Caenorhabditis elegans: one gene and its partners. The protein of the gene in region 1 interacts with the protein of each later gene in a pairwise test. Each region holds a gene or a part of one and is shown on either strand. Other genes may lie near its edges.

Region 1 (6,280 bases):
TTAAATGCAAAAATTTAAATACAACAGAATAAATAATTTAAGTTGAAAGAGGACGGTTTTTCTGCAGGGTACATAAGAATGCTTTATTTTAACCTTCTTGTTTATTAAATTAAATTTAATTAATTAAGAAAATAGATTAAGGTTCAACATTTGCCATTGGATGACCTTCTTCTGATTCCAAGAGCACGATTAGCTTCATCAATTTGAAGCTTTTGAAGGGAACGACGCTTACGGCCTCCACCTCCACATCCACAGCATCCGCATCCGCAACCACATCCACAACAGCATGGTCTACAGCAGGTACAACATCTAGTACAGCAACAAGTTCTACAACAAGTACAACAACATTTGGGTCTACAACAGCAGCAGCATCTTGGTCTGCAGCAGCAACATCCACATCCACCACCACCTCCTCCACATCCACAACATCCACAACATCCTCCATTTCTTTTAACACGAGAAGATCCGATAATTGATGTTTCAGATGAAATTATAGATATTTCTGTTGTTGATACTGGCAAAACTCCTGATTCAACCTATAATAGTATTGTGTTTTCTAACATTTAGAACCTTTACCGATACCTGTGAAATAGCAATAAGGGCAAAGAGAGTCAGAAGTACGATCTTATTCATTTCAGATTATTAGCGTTCGATATGGTTTTCGAATTTCCATCCATTAAATACCCTCTTCTTCTTACGTGTTTGTCGTCTCTCATTTGACACTTTTGCCGGAAACCATTTTTTGTGATCTCTCCGCGCGAGCCGCGTCATGGAAATTGAACACAAAAACTAAGACACTTTGGATCATGGAAAAGTTATATAAAAGCACCATAAAATTGAGATATTCATCAGTTTCTATTCGATCAAAATGACCAAATTCATAATTGGATCTACATTAGTTGTACTGATTTATACAATTGTATCGATTTCACAGGTTAGATTAATAGATTTAGTTCTCGTATTTAAGAAACTTATAGGTTGAATCAGGAGTTTTGCCAGTATCAACAACAGAAATATCTATAATTTCATCTGAAACATCAATTATCGGATCTTCTCGTGTTAAAAGAAATGGAGGATGTTGTGGATGTTGTGGATGTGGAGGAGGTGGTGGTGGATGTGGATGTTGCTGTTGCAGACCAAGATGCTGCTGCTGTTGTAGACCCAAATGTTGTTGTACTTGTTGTAGAACTTGTTGCTGTACTAGATGTTGTACCTGCTGTAGACCATGCTGTTGTGGATGTGGTTGCGGATGCGGATGCTGTGGATGTGGAGGTGGAGGTCGTAAACGTCGTTCCCTTCAAAAACTTCAAATTGATGAAGCTAATCGTGCTCTTGGAATCAAAAGAAGACCATCCAATGGCAAATGTTAATCCATTAATCTATTTGTTTAATTTATTCTAATTCTCGATCGGGAATAAATAATTTGGAAATTATTCAACTTATTAAATTCATAGATCTGGGAAACTATCAAGAATCAAAATCTTAAGACTATTCTCCTCTCGTCTCGTTTCACATCTCTTCGTTCTCCGTCTATCGATCGGGTGATGCTGCAAATCATTTTTATCGATCTACAAAGTGCTGCATTTACTAACGGCATATCGTTTCGAGACCCAAACGCTGATGTGCGTTATTGCAAATAACAGTTATTTTTCCAAACCAGCATTACATTACAGTCCACTTTTTTTCCTTTTCATATTTTCATCCTGGACCCAGCTACATACATTACCGCAAACGTGCAAACGGTAGATTTTATTTACTAGTTCCTTTTTTCCGAAAAATTTCAAAAAATTGTAAACTGCGTTTCCGTTTTCAAAGAACTTTTTTGAAGTTTCAACGCTTTTCATCGCAAATATTTACAAATACGTCTCGTTATTTAGAAATTTTAAAATTTTTTGAACAGTGAAAATCCTTTTCAAACTTCGCGCTAAAATTATAAAGCAACCGCGCCCTAACGTCAGAATCACCAAACACTTTTTGCGTACACTTGTTGAAAACACGCTTCTATATGCGTGGATGATGACAATTTTCAAATCTGTGTCGTTTTTAGAAATAATTTCGTGAACTTTTTTAAAATCTCAATTTTCTTTTATAGTTTCGTTCCCACTATCATTTTGGACACTCATTCTTCTTATTTTAGGTCTTAAATTGTACATAATGGCCTCGGTTCCAACGCATCAAAGCGAAAAAGAGAAGAAAAATGATGAGCTGTCGACAGCTATTCTCAAGGACAAGGTAAAGCCGAATCGCTTGATCGTCGATCAGTCCGAGCAGGATGATAATTCCGTCATCGCAGTTTCCCAAGCTAAAATGGACGAACTGGGACTTTTCCGTGGAGATGCTGTCATCCTGAAGGTATGTGTTTCTTTTTAATTTTTGATTAAAACGCACAATTTAAGAACTTGTAATGTCTGTGATTTACAATATAGGCTGAAAAACGTTCTGTTTTGAAGCTAGTACTGTTTATTTGCTGATGGTTTTATGAGTGTCATAGTTGTGCGATATAGATCAAGTAACGAATCGTTTCAAAGTATTTCGTAATCCTAACACCACGCAAAGGTGCTGATCTCGATTTTTAAACGGTTGTCACACAATTAAATTTTATTTTTCGATTCTAATGATTATTTTTGCAGGGAAAGAAGCGAAAGGAATCTGTCGCCATCATTGTCTCTGATGAGTCCTGTCCAAACGAGAAAGTTCGCATGAACCGTGTTGTCCGCAACAATCTTCGTATTCGCCTCGGAGACGTCGTGAGCATTACGCCAGCTCCAAATCTCAGTTACGGAACCCGCATTCACGTGCTCCCTATTGATGACACTATCGAAGGACTCACTGGAAACTTGTTCGATGTTTTCCTCAAGCCATACTTCCTGGAGGCTTACCGCCCACTTCACAAGGGAGATATATTCACTGTTCAAGCTGCCATGAGAACTGTGGAATTCAAAGTTGTCGAAACTGAGCCAGCTCCAGCCTGCATTGTGTCACCTGATACCATGATTCACTACGAAGGAGATCCGATCAAGAGAGAAGAAGAAGAAGAGAGCATGAATGATATTGGTTATGATGACTTGGGAGGAGTTCGGAAGCAATTGGCTCAGATCAAGGAAATGGTTGAACTGCCACTTCGACATCCCCAACTTTTCAAGGCTATTGGTATCAAGCCACCACGTGGAATTCTTCTCTTCGGTCCACCTGGCACAGGAAAGACTCTTATTGCACGTGCTGTTGCTAATGAAACCGGATCTTTCTTCTTCCTTATCAACGGACCTGAAGTAATGTCAAAGATGTCTGGAGAATCCGAGTCAAATCTTCGTAAGGCTTTCGAAGAATGCGAGAAGAATCAACCAGCTATTCTGTTTATTGACGAAATTGACGCCATTGCACCAAAACGCGAGAAGACCAATGGAGAAGTTGAGCGCAGAATTGTTTCTCAATTGCTTACACTTATGGATGGAGTCAAGGTATGCTTTTAAATTTTATATGATTCGATAATAATAATTATTTTAGGGTCGTTCTAACCTTGTGGTCATTGCTGCAACAAATCGTCCAAACTCGATTGACGGTGCTCTTCGTCGCTTCGGAAGATTCGATCGTGAAATCGATATCGGAATTCCAGATGCAGTCGGCCGGCTTGAGATTCTGCGCATTCACACGAAAAACATGAAGCTCGCGGATGATGTTGATCTTGAACAAATTGCAAATGAATGTCACGGATTCGTTGGTGCCGATTTGGCATCGTTGTGCTCGGAAGCCGCTCTTCAACAGATTCGTGAAAAGATGGAGCTCATTGATCTCGAAGATGACCAAATTGATGCAGAGGTTCTTAATTCACTCGCTGTCACAATGGAAAACTTCCGTTTTGCTCAAGGAAAGTCTTCCCCATCCGCTCTCCGCGAGGCTGTTGTCGAAACTCCGAATACAACTTGGTCCGACATTGGAGGTCTTCAAAACGTCAAGCGCGAACTTCAAGAATTGGTTCAGTATCCAGTGGAACACCCAGAAAAATATCTCAAGTTTGGAATGCAGCCATCAAGAGGAGTTTTGTTCTATGGGCCACCAGGATGTGGTAAGACACTTCTTGCCAAGGCAATTGCCAACGAGTGTCAAGCCAATTTCATCTCCATCAAGGGTCCAGAATTGCTCACAATGTGGTTCGGAGAATCGGAAGCTAACGTCCGTGATGTCTTCGACAAGGCTCGTGCAGCTGCTCCTTGCGTGTTGTTCTTCGATGAGTTGGATTCGATTGCCAAGGCAAGAGGTGGAGGCGCCGGCGGTGATGGAGGAGGTGCATCGGATCGTGTAATCAATCAAGTGCTCACCGAAATGGATGGAATGAACGCGAAGAAAAATGTGTTCATCATCGGAGCTACAAACAGACCTGATATCATTGATCCAGCTGTTCTTCGTCCAGGTCGCCTTGATCAGCTTATCTACATCCCACTCCCAGACGAAGCTTCTCGGCACCAAATTTTGAAAGCTTCTCTTCGTAAAACCCCACTCTCCAAGGATCTTGACTTGACCTTCTTGGCCAAAAACACTGTTGGATTCTCTGGAGCCGATTTGACCGAAATTTGTCAGAGGTGAGTAATTTAATTATTTGAAAATTTGTTCAAAACGCACAACTTAAGAACTTGCGAAATCTACACATTCTTGGCTCTTCTTAGCTGCGTTTTGCAGTTCAGATTCTGCCAAGTTTTGTGTTCATGGTTACGCGAGTGTCATATTTGTGCTATATAAAAAATCGTCTCACAGTAAATTATAATAGTTAGAGTATCTAAAGTCGCGCTAAGGCCCCGATATTCTATTTTTCCTGGTGTGAACGATGACATTTTCAGAGCGTGTAAGCTGGCTATTCGCGAATCGATCGAAAAGGAAATTCGGATTGAGAAGGAACGTCAAGATCGCCAAGCTCGCGGTGAGGAGCTCATGGAAGACGATGCAGTTGATCCAGTACCAGAAATTACTCGTGCTCACTTCGAGGAAGCCATGAAGTTTGCCAGACGCTCTGTTACAGACAATGACATCAGAAAGTGAGTTTTGATAATGGTTTTATTGTATGTCTATAAAATATGTTTGTAGGTACGAAATGTTTGCACAAACATTGCAACAATCTCGTGGCTTTGGAAACAACTTCAAATTCCCAGGAGAACAACGCGGAAGCGATGCCCCATCTGCCCCTGTACCTGCTCAGGATGATGACGACCTTTATAACTAATGTATTGAGTTTATCTACTGAGTCTATGTATGATACTCGTTTTATTTTCTCCCATACCCACTTTTTCACCTCGTATTTCACCCCTTTCCAACCCCCGATTTACCACTATTTATTGTAATTGAGCCCATGTTTTCGCTTTAGAAATTAATGGTTACGGATGATCTTCGCGAGAAGAAAAAATTTGTAGATACCTACATCCCAGTTGATCAAAAAGTATATCCCATTTATTTTTTTGCATCCCTCCCAATGTTTTGTATGTATTGCCGTTTTTGACATATAAATGTACGATGTCTGTAATCATAATTGTGTACGATTGTGTTGCCATATTCAAACTATTATTTGTGATTGTGTAGGTGGAATTGTCTCATGACCAATGACTGGTTGTTCCGTTGATAATGGGAAGCTGTATTTAAGATAAGTTGCCTAAGTTTAACGTAATTTTTTGGACCAGGTTTTAATATCAATCATCAAACCTATTTAGCGATCCAGTTGTTCTTGATCTTTTGGAAAGTAGAAGTGCTTTTTCATTCATTGATATCATTTTCCATCGATATTGTCTCCACACTCATAGGAGTGCACGCATTTCGTACATAGTCATGAGGTTTTTAACAAAGAAAATGCCGAATTGAGTACTATAGTTGCTTATCTTCAAGCTTGTTGAACTCGTTTCTGGCCAATTTTCAAAAATTCCTTGTCCTCGTTGTCTGTCACATGAATCTTTTAGATCAGATATTAATATTGATAGTAACTGATAAGTGCCAATAGTTTTCAAATTCTTAAAAATATCTGAAAACACAAAATTTGCCGCAAATATGCACATTTTTGTAAGAAACACCGTCACGAACAAATTCACACTACAGTGCTTTTGTTTTTTTTTTCTAGAAAAATTGGTTTTTCATGCCTGAAAGTCGCATTTCTACTATTTATTTTCCATTACTTTAGTCGTATTTCTTCTCGTGAGACACAAAAAAACAGTCTTTTCACAACTGAACGGCATGCACTTTTGAATACGGTGCCTGCGAGACAGAGATCACATGCCATCCAATGTCGCCCGGGAATCTTGTGACC
Region 2 (3,489 bases), 330 kb from region 1:
CAAAACAGTCTTCTCTCTTTCTCGGCTCGTGCTGCGTGGCTCATTTGCGTATATACTCTAAGGAGTTATGCATGGAACGTTTGGAACGTTTGAAGAAGAGAGCTCAATGTCTATGTCCCCCGTGTGCTCTCCGGAGACAAAGGGTTAGGCGGAGAGCAGCAATATGAGCATTTTGACAAGTACTCAAATATTTCTCCATTGTTTAGTTTCGAGATAATATGGTTAAAATCACAAAAGTTTCATGTTTACCGGAAAGATTTTCATAGTTAAAGTGTGCCATGCGGAGCCGGAAATCTAGAGAATTTCGTCGAAAATTTGAAATTCTTGGCAATAAAGTTATTATGGATCTTTTGAAATCGAGGCGCAAGGGCGCTCTATGGCACTCTCCGCCCCTAGACGTTGGGTCTCGTTAGGAATAGAATCCGGAAATTCGAATTTTAAATGTTTTTGTTGTTTTTAATGATTTTATGTCGAATTTTATGAATTTATATAATTTCGACATAAAAACAACGATAAATAATTAATTTCTCAGTGGAGCACATTTGCATTTCGACTTCAAAAATCGCATTTTTTTGCGTCCCTATAATAACCCCCTACTTAATATTTTTACCAACAAGATGTTTTGGTACACAAAAAGTGCATTTCGAGAACTAAATAATTGCTCCGAGAGCCGCGTTTCCCCTATTCACACTAACTCATTTTATCCAGTTTTGCATGTAAAAATCTTTTTATGCACAAAAAAACAACACGGGAGAGACGGAGAGCAAGATTTTCCTCTTTTTTCAAGAAAACTGAGCAATAAAGACATGAAAAGGCAAGGATTTATTTCAAAAATAGTTATTATTATACGTTCCAGAAAAAATTACGAACGTATAATAATTCGTAAAAGAATTAAAATAAAATACAAAAGACAATGTGTGAAACCGGGGAATTTAGGAAGGAAATAATGGGAAACGATGCCTACCTTGAAGGACAATCAATTGTACCGGAAAAAGACCAAAATGCATTATGAAAATGGAAAAAATGCAAGTGCGCTCTATTGATGTGTCAATAGTAGAGCGTACATGCATCAGATACTAAATTCAAAAACTAGAAAGGATTAGGAGATTTTCGAGAGTGAGAGAGATTCTAGACAAGGTTAACTGGAACTATAAAAGGAAAATGTAAAGACAATTATGTTCAAACAGAAGCAGTGGAAGATCGATTTGGGTTTTACACTTTTTGACAGTGTATCTTTTTTTGAATTAAACAGAGAAAATTTGTTACAGAGAAAGAGAAATAAAAAATCAGATTCTCACCCAAAATTTTCAAATTTAATTCAAGCGATGTGCTCTTCCCTTATGGAATGTTCCATCAGCATACGATCCAAGACTTTTTTCTTCTTTTCCAGCACATACTTTATCACAATCAACGACTCCGTAGAGAGTGAGATGTCCAATTGGTTTTGTGCTCATTTCACGTTTTGGGGTTGAAGCCTGACGTTTCAGCTTCTTCTGACGCTCGTGAAAGGCTTTTCCGTACTTTCTGGGGCGCTTCTCGAGGACAAAGTAGAAGGACCAGCTGGAAAATTTAAATAATTATTAAATTTGGTAATGTGTATTTATAAATGTTTTTGAAAAAAACTTTCCCCATTCCATTGAAATTTTTTGCAGAAAACCCCTATTTTTAAAGGTGGTGTAGCCATAATGGAGATTAAGCTTTAAAATTTTTTTTAATTGGTGTGAAACTCAGAAAACCCACAAAAAACATCGATAGAAAAAGAAGAAGAATTCTCCTTTTAAAAACTATATTTTCCAATTTTGGTTTATTTCTTTTTTTTTTTGGAATTCGCTCCAAAATGAGAATTTCTAGATTTTTACGAAACGGATCCCATTGGAAATCACAAATTTCGGAATAAAGATTAACCATTTTTTTGGTAAAAGTTCAATTCTTAAATATCTATCAAAAGTTGATAATTACATACTACTGACATAATTATTTTCCAACGCACACACACTTTCACTCACTCTGCCACTTTATGCGACCACGGACGAAGATACGTGCATCCTTCTTTATCATCCGGGAACCAAAACTTGTCTAATGTACAGAAGCCGCCTTCTCCCAGAATACATGTGTATGAGTGAAGCCTGAAAATTATAGTTTTTGAATTGTTATTAGAAATTGGAAATTGGAAAGTATTTGAATTTTTTGAACTGTTAGAAAGTACTCTTAAAAATATATTAGTTTTAAAAAATCCTGAAAAGAAAACGTGTGAATTCAAAAATAAATAAAATTTAGACTTTGCAACGTCAAATTCTGATAGCAAATTTTCAACAAAAAAATCATTACCACATTTTCACTAACTACCACTAGACGATGCCAACTAACAATCACGTACAAAAGGAGAAGTTTGCGGAGGATCGTGCTCTGTTGAGCCAACAGGTTAGATTCGGATTATGACAGTGATAAGTTAGAATTTCAGAACAAAGAATATGCGGAGAGTCTTGCCAAGGATATTGCAAAGAAAGAAGAAAAGGATAAAATTAGATTTGAAGCTGAACAGAAGGAGCTGAGGAAGAAAACCATTCAGGATTACAGAGAGAAGTTGAAAGGTAATTTAGAACCCATAGTTGCAAATAATGCAAGCTGGCCTATTCCAGGAACTGTATCACAAGGACCCCTCCGTCTTCTAGTACGATACCCCAATGGTTCTCGATTAATTCTGAGCTTCTCCCCATCACAACCGATGACTTCACTTTTTGATGCTATTATTTTGAATCCGGCGTGCCCTGACTATTTCTCGGTTCGAAGTGTCTATCCTCGTGCGGAGATTCATTGCTATCCAGCATGGTATCACACGATTTTCAATGCAGAATTCAAGGATGAAACAGAAAAAGGAGCAAATAATGTGGCGAAGGAGACGAATGAAGTAAAATGTCTAGAAACTATTCCGAATAACTCAATCCTCTACGTGAATTTGATTCAATGAAGTCAAACTCATCTTGACTATAATGCAGGGTATTTCATGTAGGCGCCAAGATGCCTAGCTGACCTTAAGGAGACCTTCACCTGCCTCGCGCCTTTAATGCCTTTGGGTGACGTGAGGCAGGTAGGTTCCAGGTAGGCTCTCACGCCGCGCCTGCCCATCACGGAAGACCTTCACTTAATGTATGCCTGATACATATAGAAATTCAAAAATAGCCAGACTTCAACCAAACTTTGGCAAGTTGTGGGCGAGAATTTTAAAAAAGTTCTCCATATCGATCAATAATTAAAATTTATTAAACTTGGCCAAGCTCTTGGGTTGAAGTTCATTGAAAATTTGCTAAAAGTTGGTTCAAAGTGTGGTGAGATGATTTGCATTAGAGAATGAAGGAAGTTTGGTAAGCCGTGAGCTAACTTGGGTGAGAAATTGGCAAATTGGCAAAACTTGGTAAGAAATTCCAAAGGGGAAATCTTGACGTAGAATCCAAGCTGAACTTCGAATAGATACTGGTAATCTTTCTCTGT
Region 3 (4,491 bases), on another chromosome or scaffold:
AAGTAAGAGAATTGTTGTAACTCGTCGTCTCAAGTAACTTTCGAGTTGCAGCCGGCGTTCGACAAATACATTGCACCATGCATGGATTCGGCTGATCTCATCGTTCCGCGCGGTGGAGAGAACGACGTCGCCATCGACATGATCGTGCAGAACGTGATGGCACAGCTCGTTGAACGCGGATACGATCGCAATCAGAACAACCGTGATCGTCACGATTTGGTTCGCGACGATCTACCGGATTGTTTGCCGGAAAACCTGTTCATTTTAAAAGAAACTCCACAGGTCAAAGGTCTTGTCACGTTTGTTCGTGATCGAGAAACGAGTAGAGACAATCATATTTTCTATTCTGATCGATTAATGCGTATTCTTATTGAAGAATGCATGAATCATATGCCTTACAAAGATGTTGAGATTGAGATGGCCGGCGGTAGAAAGTGAGTAAATTTGAAACTGAAAAATGGTCACTGCAAGATTTGAAAATTCCTTTTTGAAATCTGAAATCAGCGCCAACCTTTCTGAAATTTCTGAATCTGACTGCAAAAATACGGTACCCGGTCTCGACACGACAAATGTTTGTTAAACAAAAGTGTGCGCCTTGAAATAGTACTGTAGTTTCAATTTCTTATCACTGCGGATTTTTTGTTTTATTTTAAGTTTTGTTTATGGTTTCAATCAAGTTTTTTAATACAGAAATAATTTTTATAGAAAAACTACAAAGAATCAATAAAAATTCTGCAGTAATTTAAAATTACAGTAATCTTTAAAGGCGCTCTTTCAGCAAAAAATCTGTCGAATCGAGACCGGCTACCGTATTTTCGGCTTAAGAATTGCAAAGTTTCAGATCTTGGTTTCGGATATTCGGATATTAATGTTCTATTGTTTCCAATATAAGAATAAACTTTTTCTAAATAAAACTTGAAAACTAAACAATTGAAAACGTCTAAAATAGGCTCAACCATCTAGAAACTTTAATTTTTATTTCAGAACTATTGGCAAACGAAAGGACGCTCAGATTTGTGGTCTTCCAATCATGCGAGCCGGCGAATGTATGGAGACTGCTCTTCGCTCAATCGTCAAGGACTGCGTGATCGGAAAAATTTTGATTCAAACCAACGAGACGACGTTTGATCCAGAACTTCATTATATACGTTTGCCACCACACATAACTCGATACAAAGTTATCATTATGGACGCCACCGTAACTACTGGGAGTGCTGCGATGATGGCAATTCGTGTACTTCTTGATCATGATGTTAAAGAGGAAGACATATTTGTTGCATCTCTGCTTATGGGTCAACAAGGTGCACATGCACTGGCTTATGCCTTCCCGAAGGTTTACAATTTTTTATTTGAATTAAAAATTATTAATTTTCAGGTTAAATTAATCACCACCGCAATGGACCACCAAATGACGGAAAATTGCTATCTGATTCCCGGAATGGGCAATTTTGGTGATCGATATTACGGAACCGGGCTCGAACAAGACATGGACGAGCCATTCGATATGTGATCATCTGTTATCACAAAAATGATCAATTTTCTTCATAATTTATCAAAGTTTCTGTTTTCCTTCCATTTCATCTGATGAATTCCTACTTTCTTGTTCCTTTTCACTAACTTTATTATTATAATTATAATTATTCATAATGTTCTTTCTTTCCCATCATCATATCCATCCTTCTATACATTTTGTTTCCATTTGTTGTTGAAATTTTATATGCTATTTCATTTTTTGTCGTCCTTTTTTTCCGTTCTTCATTTTATTGACTTCTCTTCATGATTTCTGGCATTCAGCTCGATAATTCATTTATACCCTGTTCTTTCTAGTGTTTTTTCGCGTTGTTTGTGACGGTTAAATTCTTCCCTCTACATCTTTGCGCGTTTCCACACAAAAATCTGTACACGACATTCGGTTTTCTCGTTGTTCCATTTCTTTTTTGTTCAACGGAGCGCGTTTGTCGTTGCAGGAATCGGTTTTAATATCATCATCCATTCACGCATTCTCTTTTTCATGTTGTTCATTGTGTTTTTCTTCAATTTTTGTCAAGTTTCCTTCACACGTGCATTTTAGTAATTTCTTTCTATAATAAATTGCAGTTTGTTAAATATTTAAATGATCAATGAGCTCTCTTTTCTTGGTTGGCTCATCCTCTTTGTATTTTTTGAATTATAGTTGAAGAAAACGTTAATAACTTTTCAGAAAACCAAAAATAAAAATGCAAGCGTGGATACAACAAGGACTTCACGGGATGCAGATGGGCGGCCGAGTCGGGAATTATGATCAAACTTTTGTGGTGAGCTTTTAAAATTCATTTCGAAAGATGTTTGCAAACTTTTTTCAACAACAACTTCGCCGAACTACTCGTCATTTCGATCTCATTGTAAATAATAAATTGGATTTCAAAGATTATATTTCAGCGTTAATAAACAATTAAATTTCAGGTATATGGGCCCGTATTCCTTCCCAATGCAACACAGTCAAAAATAAGCGAAATCAATTATGGTGGAAAGATTCTTCTGCCGTCATCTGCTCTCAACTTGCTCATGCAATATAATATTCCGATGCCAATGCTTTTCAAGGTTTGTTTTGTATAGCTTGAAGTAACTAGAAAACCATTAAAATTTACAGCTAACCAATATGGCTGTTCAACGTGTAACTCATTGCGGTGTTCTTGAATTTTCTGCTCCAGAAGGACAAGCCATTCTGCCACTTTGGATGATGCAGCAATTGGGACTTGACGATGGAGATACCATTCGCATTGAGTCTGCAACTCTTCCGAAAGCCACGTTTGCTAAATTGAAGCCGATGTCACTCGAGTTTCTGAATATTACTAATCCAAAGTGAGTTTTCATAAACTCTAATAATTTTTTGAAGTTTTTGAACAAAGTCCTATATTTTTCTATTTTTCAGAGCTGTTCTTGAAGTGGAACTTCGAAAATATGCATGCCTCACCAAAAACGATCGGATCCCAACATCATATGCTGGACAAACTCTCGAATTCCTCGTCGTTGATTTGAAACCGGCCAACTCTGTGTGCATCATTGAATGTGATGTTAATCTCGATTTCGATCCTCCAGAAGGCTACGTTGAACAACCGAGACAGGTGACTCCTGCTGTCACTGCCAAGCCGCCTGCGCCAGATGCATCCGCATTTATTGGAGCTGGACAAAAAGCTGGTGGTAGTGGAGGGACAGGACAAAATGCAACTTCTGTATTCGGAGGAGCTGGGCGTCGTCTCGATGGAAAGAAGAAGCCATCATCTTCAGTATCACTCTCAGATGGAACCGGTGTTAGTACGAGTAATGCAGCTCCAGTGGCGAATGATTTGCCAGCTATTCCACCAGTGGTTGTCAATGAAGACTACAAACCAGGTAATACTTGTTTCATCTGAAATAAACATTTCAAAATAATTGAAAAGTTAAATTTTATGATTTTCAGGTCGTGTTTCATTCCTTCGTTATGATTATAAACGTGTTGATGTTCTCGAAAAAGAGCTCCGAGAGAAAGAAGCCAGCAAGGCAGGACAACCGTCAAATGTCTTCCGTGGAGGCAATCGAACACTGAGAGGAGCCCGTTAATGTCTCGAATCTGGCCAATTGTGCTATGAATAACATCTTTCACTTCACATAACCTTGTAAAAGTTCATCGCCACTTTTTTGTACAGGATAAATTTATTTGAATATATTATTCTTTGATAAGTGTGATTCAGAGATGAAATTGAAGGAGATCTCCGGAGAAAAAAATGAAATAACTAATATTATAGAACTATTCACTTGTTACAAAAATGCCTTGTAAGGTTTAAAAAATTGCAGAACTTGTTTAGATCATAAATTCTGGCTAGCGTCTGTGCTTCCGAAAACACACAAATGGACTTTTTCAATTGAAATTTTTTTGTTGAATCGAAAAATTCAATATTCAAGGAGCTCGGCCATGAAGCTGATGAACCTTCAGCGATGTCAGTGATGGGTGGAGTGGTTTCTTATCCAAACTTCTATGAATGAAAAAACCTGGAGAAAATGCTGTTTTGAAAGCCAACTCTATTTTTTGCAGAAAAAGGTCCAAATAGTCGATAGCTTCACAAAAGATCACTCGAAAATAGTCAAGATTCTGCAGGAAAAAGTCAAGTCTCAATACAAAAATTACATCTACAACACCAAAAAATCATTAAAATAAATACTAATTTATTGATACGGCGAAAGAATCGAATAAAATACAAAAAAAAAGAAAGTAGGATAGCTGAAGCAAATCGAGAGAACGGAGAAACAAATTATACGAGTTGGGATACAAACATAAAATACCATAATTGCCTACAATGGCTGGATGTTGAAGATTGAAGAGGTGGATCAGTTCTTTGTCGGAGTTCTCACTCCAGGAGGTTTGAGCTCCTTCCACTTACGAAGCATGAATGCTTTCGCATTTCTTGAGCATACCTGAAAAAGCAAAATAATCCAACTTTCAATAACGAGAAAACTTACTTCTCCAACTTTGGA
Region 4 (8,198 bases), on another chromosome or scaffold:
ATTCTAAATTTCTTCCGATTTGAATAAATATGTTTAACATCTATTCCGTTTTGTTTTATGAAGATTGTAGTAGACAAGTAGTAGAAAACTCTAATTCACAATCACCTGATTTTTATAGAGGGATAGAGGACAACAGAGCAAGCGGGAAAGATGTAGGTCACAATAGGAAACAACTTCCATGGTAGGCAAGCGCGTTTTCAGGGACCTGCCCGCCAGCCTTCCTGCTCATTGTTTGCATTTTTACGTGAATTTACAAATTTATTATATAATTTTCTCATTTCTATAAATTTGATAAATATCAAATCACTAGTTAGCATAAGAAGCGGGTTGTGGCGAGAGGCAGGCGGAGGTTGGAACTTTATACAGACGTGACCTTTCGGTCATCATGAACTTATCGCGTAAGCGACCTCTCTTTATAATTCATTACTTCTTACACTCTCTTGTAATAAACTTCTTCTCTCCTTGTCACTCGCTCAATACACAACAATAATTTTTTACTTGGAAATTGTTTTAGCATCTGCAAAAAGTATTTATTTATCAGTTTTAATAAGAAAAAACGGGAAAAAGCTGTGAAAAACGAAAGAAAACAGGCGGAAAACAAAGCAAGATAAATGGCCGCTGAAACTTGTCGGCCCCTCGGCCATGGCCTAGAAACCACTTTTCCTCGTCCCTCGTAAGGAAAAAGTTGCAGTGAAGGATCCCGTGGTTTCCCGAGCAATTTGAAATTGTCAAATTAAGTTCAAAAACCAAATGATGGTTTGAAACTACAGGAATAAATCGGTATCCTGTGTCACGTAGCCTACTTGACTTGGAGTAGGATGGCTCTAAAGTTTCGGAACATTTGCGGAAACTTGGGTTGATCATGATGTGTGTAAAGGAATGAAGCTACCGTATAATACCTGCATGCAAGAATAATTTTGATTAGTCCATTTGCAGATTTTTAAAACTTGTCGTTCAAAACAACGACTCACAGCCTCCTCACGTGGAAATGACCCAACAACAGGGGGCTTGCGCGTTTCTCGTGAGCGTGGGAAAATTTTGCCGTTGAAAAGTAATTTCCTTCAGTTTTCATGGGTTTGAAATCGATTTCAAACTTTTTAATTACGTATCAATTGTAAAGCTACTTGAGGGTAAGGTGAAGGAAAAAAAAGATTTTTGATTTTTGTTCAAAAATAAAAGCGATGATATAAAAAGAAAAAAACATCTAAAAATTGAGTTTTTCTCATATTTCGTATATTTATCATCATTTTTCTAGTGGAAATTGATGTATATTTGAAAAGTAATCTTCCACCAAAGCTTATGTTATAAAAAATATGAAGAAAAACAGTAAATTGAACGTTTTCGGTAATTTCTCAATTTTCCACGCGATGCACGAGAAGTGCGCCAATGGACCGACTTTAAATTTTTTTTTCTCATAGTCAGTGGGATTTTTTTTCAATCTGATGGTTTCTTGATGCTTTTGAGTAAAATTTTGAATATTAAAAATAAAGACATTTCAAATATATTATCAAAATCCACTTTTAGACGTGATTTCTCAGAAAAATTAGAATTTTTCCTCGATTTCAGGTAAAATTTCAGTTCACAATTGTTTTTTAAGTTTTTCCCCAAAGAAACTGTTGATTTATTATCAATTCGCAGAATTTGGACGCTGCTGGAAACGTGCCCCCGACAAGAATTGCGTCAACAGCGGCTGCTGACGCACTTCCCGCACGCGCTGGCGCGTTTCTCGGCGCGTTTTATCATTATTATTTTGTTTCCTATTTCCATCGGTTTTTCGTCGTTCTTTTTTTGTTTTTCACTCATTTTTTCTCAAATTTAATATTTTTACAGTGAAAACCTTCAATTTTCCACCACAAAACCCCGGAAAAAATGAGCAGAAAGTGAGTGTCGCCCGCGATTTTCAACCTCAAAAATCGATAAATTACTTGCAGTATTCGCACGTTTCGTGACATTGGAAACAACGACGATGGGGGGCCGGACAGCGACGATTCAGGAGCCGATGCCGCCGAGAGAGGAGCCCCACAGGAATTTTACGCTGGAAGGTAGCCGCAATTCCTAGATTTTTTAATTAAAATTTTTTAAAACTTGGATTTTTCAGCGGACAAGCAGTTCAAGGACCACGTGGAGCTGCTGCTCGAGGCCCGGATAGTGAAGCCCACATTCGGAGAATCCTTCAGGCCGCCGAAGTGGTTCAGCCAGAGGGAGGAGAAGCTCCAAGAGGACGCCCGTCAGGGAGAGAAACTATTGTAAGCCGCGGTGGGCTGCTGAAATAGCTGAAAATCATTGATTTCTGCTCATTTTTTGCGCGGCGAATTTGCTTTAAAATCGATATTTTTTTGCAGAGCCTAACGCTTCACCTGTGGTCCGACGGCTTATCGATCGAAGACGGCCCGTTAATGTCTCGCCAGGACCCCAGAACTATTGAATTCTTGGAAAGCGTCGGAAAAGGGTACGGAATGACGGAAAATGGAGGATTTCTTGAAGAAAATCGAGAGAAAATTGGATTTTTTTGACGAGAAAATCAAGATTTTCGATCCAATTTTCACTGAAAATACAAAATACAAGATTTTTTCTTAACACATAAAAATCAGTTTTTTGGCAGGAAAATCATGATTTTATCGTTGAAAATGCAAAATTCTACTTAAAATTGGGACTTTTAAGCTGTTTTCATGTAGAATTTAGTCCAAAATTTGAGTTTTTCAAAGTTTTTTCATAGTAATCCTATTTTCAGCAAACTTTACCTGGAAATTGTCCAGTTTTCGCCAAAAAAAAAATCGATTTTCCCACGATTTTTATTGATTTTAACAAATAAAATATGTGAAAAATCTTCATTTTAAACTAATTTTCACTTAAAAAATGAGAAAATCTCGATTTTTTGGCCGAAAATTTAAAAATTTGATGCTAAAAATGCAATATTTCAGCTGAAAATTGCATTTTTTAAGTTATTTTTGGGCATTATTAGCTTAAAATTGATGTTTTTCACTGTTTTAAGCTGATTTTCAGCGATTTTCTCTTGAAAATTGTTCACATTTCGATTTTTTCCACTATTCTCCTCAGTTTTTAGCAGAAAAATCGACTTTTCTTCGAATTTGCTGATTTTAAAATCAAATTTCGTTTAAAAAAACTTTTATGAATTTTCACATAAAAATGATGAAAATTCTCCAATTTCTGTCGGAAGAATTCCTGAAAATGGAATTTTTATCTTTTTTTTTCAAAAAATTCAAAATTTTGCCAAAAAATCGATTTTTCTACAAATTAGTCGCTTTTAACAGCAATTTTCGTTGAAAAAAACTCAATTTTTATAACTTTTAGCATAGAAAATGTTGAAAATGGCTTAAAAATGTTCGAACTTCTTCAAGAAAAGTGCCAAAAAATTCATTTTTTTTCACATTAAAAAATTTTTTACAGAAAACCATGAAATTTCCAATTTTTCTCCAAAAATCTCCGATATTTCTCCCTGCAAATTTGAAAATTCCCCAAAAATAATTTTTGTGAAATGCCAATTTTCAGCCAAAAATTGATTTTCTAGCGATTTAGCCGTTTTAATATCAATTTTTACACATAAAAATCGGTTTTTTGGCAGGAAAATCATGATTTTATCGTTGAAAATGCAAAATTCTACTTAAAATTGGGACTTTTAAGCTGTTTTCATGTAGAATTTAGTCCAAAATTTGAGTTTTTCATATAGTTTTAATTTTATTTTCAGCAAACGCCAAAAAAATTTTGATTTTGCAACGATTTTTGGCGGCGATTTTAATATCAACATTTGTGCAAAAATGCCAATTTTAATCAATTTTCACATAAAAATTGAGAAAATCTCGGTTTTTTGCCTGAAAATTTAGCATTTTATCGCAAAAAACGCATTGTTTCAGTTGTAAATTGTTAAGAAACCGAGGAAACCTATATTTTAATCAGTTTTTTAGCAAAAAAATCGATTTTTCTACGAATTAGCTGATTTAAATGACAATTTTCGTTGGAAAAACTCAATTTTTATGAATTTTCACATAAAAATGATGAAAATTCTCCAATTTCTGTCGGAAAAATTCCAGAAAAGGCATTTTTATCCACTAAAAAAAATTCAAAATTTTCCAATATTTTCCTCAGTTTTTAGCAAAAAAATCGATTTTCCTACAAATTTGCAGATTTTAAAATCAAATTTCGTTGGAAAAACTCAATTTTGATGAATTTTCACGAAAAAATGTTGAAATTGGCTCAAAATTCTCCAATTTCTTCGAGAAAAATCCCAAAAAAAATGGAACTTTTTTTCCATTTTTTCAAAAAACTCAAATTTTTCCAATATTTTCCTCAGTTTTTAGCAAAAAAATCGATTTTTCTACAAATTAACCGATTTTAAAATCAAATTTCGTTGAAAAAAAACTCAATTGTGATGAATTTTCACGAAAAAAAAATTGAAAATTCTCCAATTTTTACCGAAAAAAGTGCCAAAAAATCCATTTTTCACTAATTTTTCTATTTTTTTTTTGTTTTTTTTCAGTGAAATCCCTCCATCACTTGTTCAACAATATCCGGGAAAAGAAATCGATTTCAAAGTGAACCGCCACCACGAGGAGTACGTTGCTCCGAAGATGAAGCCATTCGGCGGTAGTGGAGTCCGTTTGGGAAATGTTGTCCCAACAGTTTTGGGACAATCATCGTCGTCTGCCACCACTGCTGGGACATCATCTGCAACAACTGATCATAACCCGGATCATACTGCTGAAAATGAGGCAAAACAGCTGGAAGATGCTAAGAAGGAGCTGAGCACCAATATGAATGAGCCAACGACTAATGTACGGAGTTTGTACTACGGTTTTGGAGCAGCGAAAATTTTTGGAAATTTGGAGGAAAACTGCGGCTAAAATTGGCAGTTCTAAAAGAAAAATGGACGAAAAAATTCAGTAGAAATAGGCTAAAATCAACTGCAATTAGTAATTCAGTCCCCCCACAAAACTGACCTGAAAATGCAATAAATTAGAAGAAAAACGGTCGAAAATTACCTGAAAATCATAAAAATCGAAAAAAAAAATCGGTGGCCGAACTTTTCGATTTTCTAGGCCATCAGGTGAAAAGTTAGACCCCCCCACAAAACTGACCTGACCTATCACGCAGAATGTCAAAACAAAATTGGGGGACTAATTTTTCACTTGGTGGCCTAGAAATCCAAAAGTTCGGCCACCGATTTTTCATTTAATTTTTATGTTTTTCCGGTCATTATTGATAGTTTATCTTCGCATTTTCAGCCATTTTTCCACCTGAAAACTTACAAATAACGCTTCTTAAGCACCGCTTTGACACCTCCAATCTCCTTGACCATTTGGCCAAACTTTTGGATTTTATCGATTCCCAGCCACGCTTTCAGGGACATCTGTAATGTAAATTTGGTTGGAAAAATGGGATTTTTTTTCAGTAAAAAATATGAAATTTTAACGGAATGTGGGGGAAAAAAATTTGACCAAAAAACATTTTTTTCGCCATTTTTTGGCGAAAAACTCCATATTTCCTGTGAAATATGATATTTTTCGAGTTTTTCACTGAAAAATCTTGAATTGCTCGGAAAAAATCGGAAAAATCGATTTTTCAGTGGAAAATGTACGGAGTTTGTACGGTTTTGGAGCGAAAATTTGTGAAATTTGGAGGAAAACCGGCTAAAATTGGCAGTTTTAAAAAGAAAAATCAAAGAAAAAATTCAGTAGAATTAGGCTAAAATCAACTGCAAACTTTTGAAAATTAAATTTTAAATATATGTTATCAATTATACACTAGAAAAAACATCCCAGAATCAGTTTATTTCTGAAAAATTTCAAATCGGATAAAATAAGCTTCAAAAACACTCTAAAATTAAATGATTCTGATAATAAAATATTCAAAAATTCGCTTAAATTGGGAAAAAAAATCGGTGGCCGAACTTTCGGATTTCTAGACCATCAAGTGAAAAGTTAGTCCAGCCCATTTGAAAATAGCTAGACACAATTCAAAATGGCAAGAAGACGTTTGTGGAGGACTAACATCTCAGTTGGTGGCCTAGAAATTCAAAAGTTCGGCCATCGACTTTTAAAATTTTATTTTCTTCCAATTTTTCACAAAAATGTGCTGAATTACTAATTATTCGATGGGAAACCCGAAAAAAATCGGTGGCCTAACTGTTTTAAAAAGTCGGCCACCAATTTTTTTCGCGCAAATTTGACCGTTTTTTCGTCAATTTTCCAAATAAAAAATTGCTGGCCTAGAAACCCAAACCTCGGCCACCTATTTTTCACCTAAAAACCGTACCTAAACACACCATCAGGACGCTTTTCTGCTCTCCGACGCTCATTTTCTGGGAAAAAATCAGATTTTTTTCCTGAAAAAAACGTGAAAAATCAATAAAAATATCACAAAAAGGTCGTAAAATCCTTCAAAAAATCAATAAAAATTGGCAAAAAAAAATCGATAAAAATCTACAAAATTCATATGATTTTAAACACAAAAAAAACGGAGAAAAATCTACTTTTTCGAAAAAAAAAAATTTCAGGCTCTAATTATAGATTTTCAGTCGAATTGTGGCTTCTTTCCTGATATTTTGATTAATTTTAACAAAATTTTCAGATCCAAATCCGTCTGCCAAACAATCAGCGTCTCGTCGGTATTTTTAATCATTCTCACACACTTGAAGCAGTTCGTACATTCATTTGCACGTGAGTTTTCAGCCGGAAAAAGCTATTAAAAACTCTCATTTTTCACTAGAAAAAGTAGATTTTTAGAAAATTTCGAATTAAAAAAATAAAAAAATCATCTAAAAATCACATTTTTAGCCTGAAAAATTCGAAATTTTCCAATGAATAATTATTTTTTAATAATATTTTTCTGATATACACAGTGATAGAAAAATTACATTTTTCAAATTAAAAAATTACATTTTTCAAATTAAAAAATTACATTTTTCTAGTTTTTTCTTTCAAAAAACTCAAATTTTTTTAATTTAAAAATTTTGATTTTCCAGCGCCCGCCCAGATATGATCTACGCTCCATTCCAAATGATGGCTGCCTACCCTCCAAAACCATTTGAAGACGAATCACAGACTCTGAAGGATGCAAATGTGCTCAATTCGGTCGTCGCCGTGAAAATCTTGCCCACCACCAACTGAGGAGATTCCTGACGCTGCTTTTTTGGCGGGAAAATTGAAAATTGAAAATTTCATCTGAAAAAATTTCGAATTTCTACTCGTTTTTACCCCCCAAAACCTCTCAAATTCCCTGAAAATACCTGTATTTTACGCTAAATTATTTGATTTTTTCCCCCCATTTCCCAATATCGTTTTTTTTCTTTCTTCTATCACACTTTAATGCATAAAAAAAGTACACCGTTTTCTGTGAAAAATTGCGGCGATTTTTATTGATTTTTTGTTTTGGAATTTGCGAGTTTTTCAAGCTCTGAAATATTTTTTTTATTTTTTCCAGATTTTCAGAATTTTTCAATTTTTAGTGAAAAATGCACATTTTTTACAAATTTTCCATTAAAAATTCAATTTTAAAGTCAAATTTTGAATTTTTCAGATTTTTTCCCAATTTTTCAGAGAGAAAAATCCTTCTTCTGCGATTTTTTGGTGAAAAATTTAAAGTTTTCAAAAAATGTAAAAATTCACTTTTTTTGTTCCAATTTTCCACTGAAAAATCGATTTTTCCCTGATTTTTTTCAAAAAATTCAAGATTTTTCAGTGAAAAACTCGAAAAATATCATATTTCACAGGAAATATGGAGTTTTTCGCCAAAAAATTTATAAAAAATTTTTTTTTGAAAAAATTCACAAAATGCTTGGTTTTTCCTCCCCACATTCCGTTAAAATTTCCCATTTTTCCAACCAAATTTACATTACAGATGTCCCTGAAAGCGTGGCTGGGAATCGATAAAATCCAAAAGTTTGGCCAAATGGTCAAGGAGATTGGAGGTGTCAAAGCGGTGCTTAAGAAGCGTTATTTGTAAGTTTTCAGGTGGAAAAATGGCTGAAAATGCACTAAATTAGAAGAAAAACGGTCGAAAATTACCTGAAAATCATAAAAATCGAAAAAAAAATCGGTGGCCGAACTTTTCGATTTTCTAGGCCATCAGGTGAAAAGTTAGTCCCCCACACAAAACTGACCTGACCTATCACGCAGAATGTCAAAACAAAATTGGGGGACTAATTTTTCACTTGGTGGCCTAGAAATCCAAAAGTTCGGCCA

Evidence for each region.
Region 2: the proteins of cdc-48.1 (region 1) and ubxn-5 interact in a two-hybrid assay, tested with the Caenorhabditis elegans proteins (2 studies listed by BioGRID).
Region 3: the proteins of cdc-48.1 (region 1) and ufd-1 interact in a two-hybrid assay, tested with the Caenorhabditis elegans proteins (2 studies listed by BioGRID).
Region 4: the proteins of cdc-48.1 (region 1) and ubxn-2 interact in a two-hybrid assay, tested with the Caenorhabditis elegans proteins (2 studies listed by BioGRID).

Annotation. Positions count from the first base shown.
Region 1 is NC_003280.10:10,559,265-10,565,544, reverse strand, and holds cdc-48.1 (Transitional endoplasmic reticulum ATPase homolog 1), read left to right. Parts: upstream 1-2,137; 5' UTR 2,138-2,154; coding exon 2,155-2,352; intron 2,353-2,480; exon of another isoform or gene 2,481-2,593; intron 2,594-2,630; coding exon 2,631-3,458; intron 3,459-3,504; coding exon 3,505-4,577; intron 4,578-4,610; exon of another isoform or gene 4,611-4,828; intron 4,829-4,832; coding exon 4,833-5,027; intron 5,028-5,076; coding exon 5,077-5,212; 3' UTR 5,213-5,514; downstream 5,515-6,280. Other genes in the region: C06A1.7 (uncharacterized protein), read right to left, coding at 144-536, 583-633; C06A1.6 (uncharacterized protein), read left to right, coding at 869-934, 978-1,370. UniProt on the Caenorhabditis elegans protein: ATP-dependent chaperone which probably uses the energy provided by ATP hydrolysis to generate mechanical force to unfold substrate proteins, disassemble protein complexes, and disaggregate protein aggregates.
Region 2 is NC_003280.10:10,233,333-10,236,821, reverse strand, and holds ubxn-5 (UBX domain-containing protein 5), read left to right. Parts: upstream 1-2,323; 5' UTR 2,324-2,355; coding exon 2,356-2,421; intron 2,422-2,461; coding exon 2,462-2,591; intron 2,592-2,639; coding exon 2,640-2,968; 3' UTR 2,969-2,989; downstream 2,990-3,489. Other genes in the region: pugs-6 (BPTI/Kunitz inhibitor domain-containing protein), read right to left, coding at 1,314-1,560, 2,007-2,126. UniProt on the Caenorhabditis elegans protein: Probably acts as an adapter for ATPase cdc-48.1 and/or cdc-48.2, conferring substrate specificity. Unlike other UBX domain-containing protein does not bind 'Lys-48'-polyubiquitinated chain.
Region 3 is NC_003282.8:12,328,600-12,333,090, reverse strand, and holds ufd-1 (Ubiquitin fusion degradation protein 1 homolog), read left to right. Parts: upstream 1-2,200; 5' UTR 2,201-2,216; coding exon 2,217-2,294; intron 2,295-2,315; exon of another isoform or gene 2,316-2,321; coding exon of another isoform or gene 2,322-2,381; intron 2,382-2,442; coding exon 2,443-2,580; intron 2,581-2,629; coding exon 2,630-2,841; intron 2,842-2,911; coding exon 2,912-3,372; intron 3,373-3,439; coding exon 3,440-3,579; 3' UTR 3,580-3,683; downstream 3,684-4,491. Other genes in the region: F19B6.1 (Uridine kinase), read left to right, coding at 1-2, 52-434, 985-1,333, 1,376-1,510. UniProt on the Caenorhabditis elegans protein: Functions at a post-ubiquitination step in the ubiquitin fusion degradation (UFD) pathway. In association with npl-4.1 and/or npl-4.2 and ATPase cdc-48.1 and/or cdc-48.2, involved in the cytoplasmic elimination of misfolded proteins exported from the ER.
Region 4 is NC_003282.8:2,719,491-2,727,688, reverse strand, and holds ubxn-2 (UBX domain-containing protein 2), read left to right. Parts: upstream 1-1,869; coding exon 1,870-1,880; intron 1,881-1,931; coding exon 1,932-2,042; intron 2,043-2,098; coding exon 2,099-2,246; intron 2,247-2,342; coding exon 2,343-2,449; intron 2,450-4,495; coding exon 4,496-4,790; coding exon of another isoform or gene 4,791-4,859; intron 4,860-6,585; coding exon 6,586-6,674; intron 6,675-6,979; coding exon 6,980-7,124; 3' UTR 7,125-7,376; downstream 7,377-8,198. Other genes in the region: ndua-12 (putative NADH dehydrogenase [ubiquinone] 1 alpha subcomplex subunit 12), read left to right, coding at 7,855-7,955. UniProt on the Caenorhabditis elegans protein: Ubiquitin-binding protein which acts as an adapter for ATPase cdc-48.1 and/or cdc-48.2, conferring substrate specificity.